Macaca mulatta: one gene and its partner. The protein of the gene in region 2 purifies or fractionates together with the protein of the main gene of each other region. This does not show direct contact. Links are inferred from orthologs where the notes say so. Each region holds a gene or a part of one and is shown on either strand. Other genes may lie near its edges.

The links.
Region 1: the proteins of WDCP (region 2) and RUVBL2 purify together in Homo sapiens (affinity purification with mass spectrometry; 6 studies listed by BioGRID and IntAct, counting the BioPlex papers as one, with this or other methods). This does not show direct contact. The link is inferred for Macaca mulatta from reciprocal best matches to the Homo sapiens genes WDCP and RUVBL2.

The regions. Positions count from the first base shown.
Region 1 is NC_133424.1:61,464,079-61,467,893, forward strand, and holds part of RUVBL2 (ruvB-like 2), read left to right. Parts: intron 1-417; coding exon 418-547; intron 548-701; coding exon 702-768; coding exon of another isoform or gene 769-786; intron 787-2,361; coding exon 2,362-2,468; intron 2,469-2,555; coding exon 2,556-2,649; intron 2,650-3,070; coding exon 3,071-3,194; intron 3,195-3,572; coding exon 3,573-3,667; intron 3,668-3,765; coding exon 3,766-3,815. UniProt on the Homo sapiens protein: Possesses single-stranded DNA-stimulated ATPase and ATP-dependent DNA helicase (5' to 3') activity; hexamerization is thought to be critical for ATP hydrolysis and adjacent subunits in the ring-like structure contribute to the ATPase activity.
Region 2 is NC_133418.1:100,994,327-100,998,724, reverse strand, and holds the start of WDCP (WD repeat and coiled-coil-containing protein), read right to left. Parts: upstream 2,888-4,398; 5' UTR 2,810-2,887; intron 1,449-2,809; exon of another isoform or gene 1,345-1,448; intron 1-1,344.

The DNA.
Region 1 (3,815 bases), on a different chromosome or scaffold from region 2:
TCTGGGATCAGAACCCAGGCAATCTGCCTTCATCACTTGTAACTATTGTGGCAGCCCCTTGGCCTTCGTCCCTGCTCCCCATCGCCCAGCTCTGAGGCTAAACAGCTCATAGAGGCTGGGAGACTGAGGTGTGGCGAGGTTCTAGGGTGTACACTCTGGGCAATGTGGGATTCTAAGCCAGGCCTGCCAGAGCAACCTGCCCTCCCTGGCTTCTCGTTCACTGTCTGCCTCGTGGCTAAACCCCTCTCTCCAGTTCCCCCTCCCCAGGGCTCTGCTCAGGTCAGAGCCCAGTCCTTACATGTAGGATGGCACTGAACCCTCTTTCCTGGGGTGGGAGAAGAGCTAGTTTGCCACAGAGCAGGTGTCGGGGACCTAGGGCCAGAGCGGCTTCACCTACCCGGACTGCCTCCTCCCCAGGCATGGCGCAGGCCCTGGGTCCTGACACACCATTCACAGCCATCGCCGGCAGTGAAATCTTCTCCCTGGAGATGAGCAAGACTGAGGCGCTAACGCAGGCCTTCCGGCGGTCCATCGGCGTTCGCATCAAGTAAGCAGGCGACCCGAGGCGGGTGCCAGTCCCCAGAGCCTGGGAGCAACTCCACGCCCCGGGCGGCTTGTCCTTTGTTCCGGAGCTCGGGGAAAGTTGTGATTCCCGAGGGCGCGGGTGTCAGGCTGTCTCCTCAGATCTGCTCTCTGGCTAGGGAGGAGACGGAGATCATCGAAGGGGAGGTGGTGGAGATCCAGATTGATCGACCGGCAACAGGAACGGTGAGTCTGTGTGAGTCCGTACCCTGCTGAGGCCACCTCCAGCGCCAGGGTTGGAGACAGTAGGTGTCAGGTGTGCACGGAGGTCAGAATCCCATGGAATGTTCTAGCTGCAGACTAGAGCCCAAAGTGCTGGGATTACAGGCGTGAGCCACCGTACCTGGCCTTTTTCTTTTCTTTTTTTTTTTCAATTTCTGTTTTCTCCTTTTTGCATAGCTGTGTTTTCTGATTTTGTGATCAACAAAAACAGCTTTTATTTGGGTATAAAATAGGAATGTCAAAGTGTGACCTTTGGCAATTTTGCAGGACTTTGGGCCTATGTTGTTTATAATAGACTTTATTATTTATTTATTTTGAGACAGCATCTCGTTGCCCAGGCTGGAGTGCAGTGGCGTGATCTCGGCTCACTGCAAGCTCTGCCTCCTGGGTTCATGCCACTCTCCCGCCTCAGCCTCCCGAGTAGCTGGACGGACTACAGGTGCCCGCCACCATGCCTGGCTAATTTTTTGGTTTTTTTAGTAGAGACGGGGTTTCACCATGTTAGCCAGGCTGGTCTTAATCTCCTGACCTCGTGATCCACCCGCCTCGGCCTTCCAAAGTGCTGGGATTACAGGTGTGAGCCACTGCACCCGGCCAATAGACTTTATTTTTTAGGCATGTTTTTTGTTTACTATTTTGATTAAGAGTTTTATTGAGTTTTGGCCGGGTGTCGTGGCTCACACCTATAATCCCAGCACTTTGGGAGGCTGAGGTGCGCGGATCACTTGAGGTCAGGAGTTCAAAACCAGCCTGGCCAACATGGTGAAACCCCTTCTCTACTAAAAATACAAAATGGCCAGGCGCGGTGGCTCACGCCTGTAATCCTAGCACTTTGGAGGCTGAGGCAAGCGGATCACCTGAGGTCAGTAGTTCAAGACCAGCCTGACCAACATAGTGAAACCTTGTCTCTACTAAAAATACAAAAAATTAGCTGGGCATGGTGGTGGGCGCCTGTAATCCCAGCTACTCAGGAGGCTAAGGCAGGAGAATTGCTTGAATCCAGGAGGCAGAGGTTGCAGTGAGCCGAGATCGCGCCATCACACTCCAACCTGGGCAACAAGAGTGAAACTCTGTCTCAAAAAACATTAAAAATAATAAAAATACAAAACAATTAGCTGGACATGGTGGCACACATCTGTAATCCCAGCTACTTGGGAGGCTGAGGCAGGAGAACTGCTTGAACCTGGGAGGTGGAGGTTGGAGTGAGCCGAGATTGCACCACTGCACTACAGCCTGGGTGACAGCAAGACACCATCTCAAAAAAAAAAAAAAAAAAAAAAAGCTTTATTGAGTTTTATTTGACATACAAAAAGCTGCACACATTCCAAGTGTCCAGTATGGTCGATTGGGACATACATGTTCACCCGCGGAGCCATCACCACGTCAGACTGGTGAGCACACCATATCTGTTCCCTGAAGAGCTTCCTTGTGTCGTGCCCATTTTGAAGCTGTATAAGCAGAGGCCAGAGTACAGCCAGAAGCTTATCAACACTGGGGGCACTGGGGCAACATCAGGGCCCTCTCTGATCCCCTTCCCTGGCTTGTCCCCACTCTCAGGGCTCCAAGGTGGGCAAACTGACCCTCAAGACCACAGAGATGGAGACCATCTACGACCTGGGCACCAAGATGATTGAGTCCCTGACCAAGGACAAGGTCCAGGCTGGGTGAGCAGTCGGGCCATGCCAGGCAGCCAGGGGAATGGGCGAGCTTGGGCCCCTTCCTTTCCTTACCCCACCCCCCACCCCCTGTAGGGACGTGATCACCATCGACAAGGCGACGGGCAAGATCTCGAAGCTGGGCCGCTCCTTCACACGCGCCCGTGACTACGACGCTATGGGCTCCCAGGTGCGGCCGGGACTCCTGCGATCCCCTCGCCCCCAGCACTGCGGTGTCTTCATCTCCTCCGTCACCCCCGTGACCCATGGGGCCCGGATCTTCCTGTCACCCTGACTTTTTGTCCTGGTACTCCTGGGTCTTCCCTGTAACCCTAGGACAGCTGGGTCCCTCAGCCTGGCACTGTAGCTTCACATCACCACGTGTGGCCTGTGGCTTCTGAGGTCCTCCAGGAGCCCCCATGACCCTTAGCTCTCTGGAACACCCCTAGTCCTGACTACCTCCTGGCCCTGGGGTTTCCGGATGACTCCATTTAGCCTCCCAGCTCCATTTCCTGGAGCTCCAATCTCCCCCAGACAGAGGCCTTTAGGGTCCCCCTTCATGGCCTTCCCTGCCCTGTCTCCTCCCTTCTTCTCCCACCCCTGCCCCATAGACCAAGTTTGTGCAGTGCCCGGATGGGGAGCTCCAGAAACGCAAGGAGGTGGTGCACACCGTGTCCCTGCACGAGATCGATGTCATCAACTCCCGCACCCAGGGCTTCCTGGCGCTCTTCTCAGGTGAGGCCCCTCCTGCCCTGCCCTGCCCCAGGCCTGGCAGCCTCCTTCGGGCTCCCTCTGTTCCTGAGCTCCGAGTGTGGCCCACTTGCTCCACACCCTTTCCTGTAACTCTGGCCCATGGCTGCCTCTGTTCTCCACCTGCAAGTCTGCTTCGTCCCCCCACCGCTGGTGCTGTGATGGGGGTGTCGCCCTGCCCTCTCCCCATCCTGTGTTCTCTGCCTCTGTTCATCCTTTCTGGGGATGTTTCAGTCTCCTCCTCCCTCCTTGCTTTGCTCCCCTTCCTCCACCCCTGCATCATCCTCCTCTGTCTTAGTCACACTCTGGCCCTGGAACCCACCTCCTCTCTGACTTCCCTGATGCAACCTGTGCCTCACATAGGTGACACAGGGGAGATCAAGTCAGAAGTCCGCGAGCAGATCAATGCCAAGGTGGCAGAGTGGCGCGAGGAGGGCAAGGCGGAGATCATCCCTGGAGTGAGGACCTGGGACATGGCCGGGGCAGGTGGCGGGGTGGGAGTGGGCTGGGGAAGCAGGGACGTGGGTGGTGACTCTCACACACACCCCAATCCCAGGTGCTGTTCATTGATGAGGTCCACATGCTGGACATCGAGAGCTTTTCCTT
Region 2 (4,398 bases):
CCACGCCCAGCTAATTTTTATATTTTTAGTAGAGGCCAGGCTGAAACTCCTGACCTCAAGTGATCCTCCTGCCTTGGCTTCCCAAAGTGCTAGGATTACAGGCGTGAGCCACTGTAGAGGCCAGTTTACTGAGGTTTTTAGAAGAATGAATTTTAATATTGTCATCTTCAGTAACAAGAAGAAATGTGGCACATTTTTCTCAAAAATGCAATAATTACAAAAATCTGCTCCATTCCTTTCTACTCCTGTGTTAGCCCAGGTTCTGACTTCTCCCTTTTTATTAGGGTAAAACAAGGAGAGGTTCCCTTGATACCAGTCTCTACTTTCCAAATGAGCCTGCATACTATGTGTTGTTGGGTAGAATTATCTTTAAAAAAAAAAAAAAAAAAAAAAAGCACAGCTGTGATCATTTTGCTCTTCTGCATAAACACCCTTGATGAATCCCCACATTTACAGTACATATAAAAAAGCCTCGAAATGTCTTAACAAGGCATTTAAAGTCTTATATTATCAGATATTGATATATCTTTCTAAGTTTATTCTCTGATCATAAAGGGCATACTGGGGAATTTGGAATCTTGGGGGAACCAGCATATATTCGAGTGACAATATGCAGAATGGACCTGAGAAGGAAGAAAGTTGACAAGTAATTTGAATGCCACAAAGTGAAAGTGAAGCAAGTTTGCAACTATTTCAGTAGAGAAAGAAGGCCATTATTCAGGAGATGCTTCTAAGGCAGATGGAACAGACAGTGATATCAGATAGAATATAAGTAGTGAGGAAGAAAACAGAATTAAGGATAACACCCAGATTTTTAGCTTGAGAAACTGCTGAACCATTAACCAGAGCATGTTGCAAAGGCAAGGAAGGCAGGGCAGGCTGGGTGCGATGCCTCATGCCTGTAATCTCAGCACTTTGGGAGGCTGAGGCAGGCAGATCACCTGAGGTCAGGAGTTTGAGACCAGCCTTGCCAACATGGTGAAACCCTGTCTCTACTAAAAATACAGTATTAGCTGGGGGTGGTGGTACGTGCCTGTAGTTCCAGCTACTTGGGAGGCTGCAGCAGGAGAATCGCTTGAACCTAGGAGGCAGAGGTTGCAGTGAGCCAAGATCGCACCACTGCACTCCAGCCTGGGTGACAGAGCAAGACTCCATCTCAAAAAAAAAAAAGAAAAAAAGAAAGAAAGAAAGAGAAAGGAAGGGCAGGGCAGGACAGGCACAGTGGCTAACACTTGTAATTCCAGCACTTTGGTAAGAGTATCACTTGATGCCAGGATTTCAAGACCAGCCTAGGCAACACAGGGAGACTCCAATTCTACAGAAAAATTTTTTAAAATGAGGTGGGTGCTCACTTTGGCAGCACATATACTAAAACTGAAATGATACAGAGAGTAGCATGGCCCCTGCACAGGGATGACTTGCAAATTTGTGAAGTGTTCCATAAAAAAGAAAAAGAAAAAAAGAATAAAAATAAAAATTAGCTGGGTGCAGCGTCACACACCTGCAGTCCTAGTTATTCTGGAGGCTGAGAGGATTTGAGCTCAGGAGTTCAAGGCAGTAAGCTATGATCACACCACTGCACTCCAGCCTGGGTGACAGAGTGAAACCCTGCTGGGGGGGGGAGTGGGCAGGGGCAGTAGGGGAGGAACGTGTGTAGTATGTGACCAATTGAAATTAACATGTGCTTCATGTAAGATGTCTACATGGTACCAATGTACCTTAGGCAGTCAGAGGTAAGGATATGGAAATCACTGACTCAGGGTTAACAATTAAAAGTCAAGGTGGTGGAGAACCTCACTGTTAAAGATCAGAGGGCCAGGAGGACCAAGGTTTAAATGACCTTCACGCATTCCCCAACGCTACTGATTTTGCCTGAAACTAACTGTGTACCTATTGTTTCACAATCTCCAGAGTGTAAGTTTTCTGGAGAACATGAAATCAAGAACCCTGGGTGTTTTAGGAGGGAAAAGACCGCTGTATTAGTTCAGGTCTCCGGAGAGGTGGTCAGAAAACCATGAGCCGGTGCTCAGTATATAACCATTTAATTGTGTTTTTCATCTTCTTTAAAGACAACTCATGATGAGAATCAAGGGATTCAGGTGAACTGGCATTTCCAGCAGGTTTAAACAAAAGTATATCCCTCCCCCCACTTGTTTTCCAAGTTTATTGTATTTCCACTATAAAATGATTTCAAGTCCTTTACACTTATTTGAAAACAAAAATCATACACAGGAAAAAATTAAGAAGAGTTAACGAAAAAACATTCATCCAAAAAAAATTACTACATCCCTCTAGACTCTTCTATGCATAGTTTGGCTGTCAAACTTTTTCAGTCATACTGTGCAACTTTGTATCACGGTTTTTTCACTTAACATTATATATTAGCATTTCCCCATGTTATTTAAAAGTTTTATAAATTAGTTTTAGAGGCCACTTCACATACACTCAGTGAAGTGACATAATGTACTGAACTGCTCCTAGCTGTACCCAACTTTATCCCGCTATAAATAACGCTGGGACCGAGGTCTTAAGGCTTAAAGCACTTCCTGACTTTGGATGACTTCCTTGGGACATATTCCCAGGAGTGTTATTCACTAGTCACAGTCATATTCCCTCGTTTCATCCACCCCCAGCTCGGTCCTCATCCCGCGACCCCGCACACGCGGCCCGCCCCATTCTTCTCATCCTCTCTGCACGCCTGAATCTCCTCCCTCCGGCCCCCCATCCCCCAAGAGCCGGTCCACTTCCCTCCCGACCCCCTACAGCCTCCCCACACCCGCCAGGCCCGGCAGCAGTGGAGACAAAATACCTTAGCTCTCACTGCCTCACAAAAACACCAGTGTCCCTGTGGCCGCCCAACCTCACGCCGCCGCAGATAAGCAGCTCTGGTCAGTCACCGGAAGCACCGGCCCTCAGTCCTCTGATAGGTGGGCGGTGATATCTGTCCTCTGATAGGTGAGTGGTCCTCTGATGGGATAGGCAATCTCCTAGATGGCCCCGTCTATTGGTTTTTGAATGTGCACATTAGGAGAGGGTTCATTCCACTGGCCAATAAGCTCTGGCTGTACCGCATGGATCGCTGGGAGTTGTAGTCCCCATGAAACCACCCACCGCAAGCCCGCCACATTTTCCCTCCGTTAAGCACTTGAGCTCTTTCCCCACTTCTCCTCGGTTCTCTTGTCTAAGGAGTCCAGGAGCCCTAGGATCAACACGGCTTCTTAACCTTTAAAATCTGATAAAATCTGTCCAGGAAAATGTTCTTATCTGTACACAAAATATTGTGCATTCATCTGAAGTCGCTTCATGGGCCTGTCCCAGCTACAAATCCCTGTTCTACGCCCACCCTAAGTGTGCCTGCTCTGGCCACAGCCTGTGGAGTTAGTGCATCCCTTAGGCTTCTTTAGACCAGCCACACGCTTGGAAGACTGGGCCACATCTCGGAGCAGCGCATGAGGAATTCCAGGTCCTGACCTTCACAGTACAGTTGACCATCATCTTTCTTGAACAACACAGCCAGTCCACCTTCAGGGATGCAGACAACCTCATCTGGGATCTAAGCATCCGGGAGAGTGGGGATGGGGAAATGGAGGAAGAACACCCTTGGGGTTCATTCTGGGCCCGTTTGCCAGGCTTTTCTCCCCATGCCTATCTTCCAGTGCCACTTAGCAGAATCATACCTTCACATCAGTTTTTATGTTTTTCTTTTTCTTTTCTTTTCTTTTTTTAAAAATAAAGATGGCGTGCCTGTAATCCCAGCACTTTGGGAGGCGAGGCGGGCGGATAACCTGAGATCCGCAGTTCAAGACCAGCCTGGCCAACATGGTGAAACCCGGTCTCTACTAAAAATTTAAAAATTAGCCGGACGCTGGTAGCTCACGCCTGTAATCCCAGCTACTTGGGAGGCTGAGGCACGAGAATCGCTTGAACTCGGGAGGCGGAGGTTGCAGTGAGCCGAGATTGTGCCACTGCATTCCAGCCTGGCGACAGAGTGAAGATTCTGTCTCAAAAAAAAAGAGAGAGAGAGAGAGAGAGGGACGGGATCTTGCTATGTTACCCAGGCTAGTCTTGAACTCCTGGGCTCAAGCAATCCTCCTGCCTCGGTCTCCCACAGTGTTGAGATTACAGGTGTGAGCCATTGTTCCAAAAATTGATATGCCCGGCCTCACATCAATTTTTGGAACAATGCAGGTAATAACGAGCGGAAAAAAAAGTTTTAAAAGTCCCAATTACCCTTCAAACAAATATTACCTCCTCCAAAAAATATTTTTCTAGATTCCTGATTGTCTTTTTAGGTGGAGGAGGAACTCAAAGTAGAATTCATTTACATATTCATTCATTCATTCCACAGCACTAATCACTCCATGCGGTAACTCTGTGTCCCCATCTCTCTCAGATTTA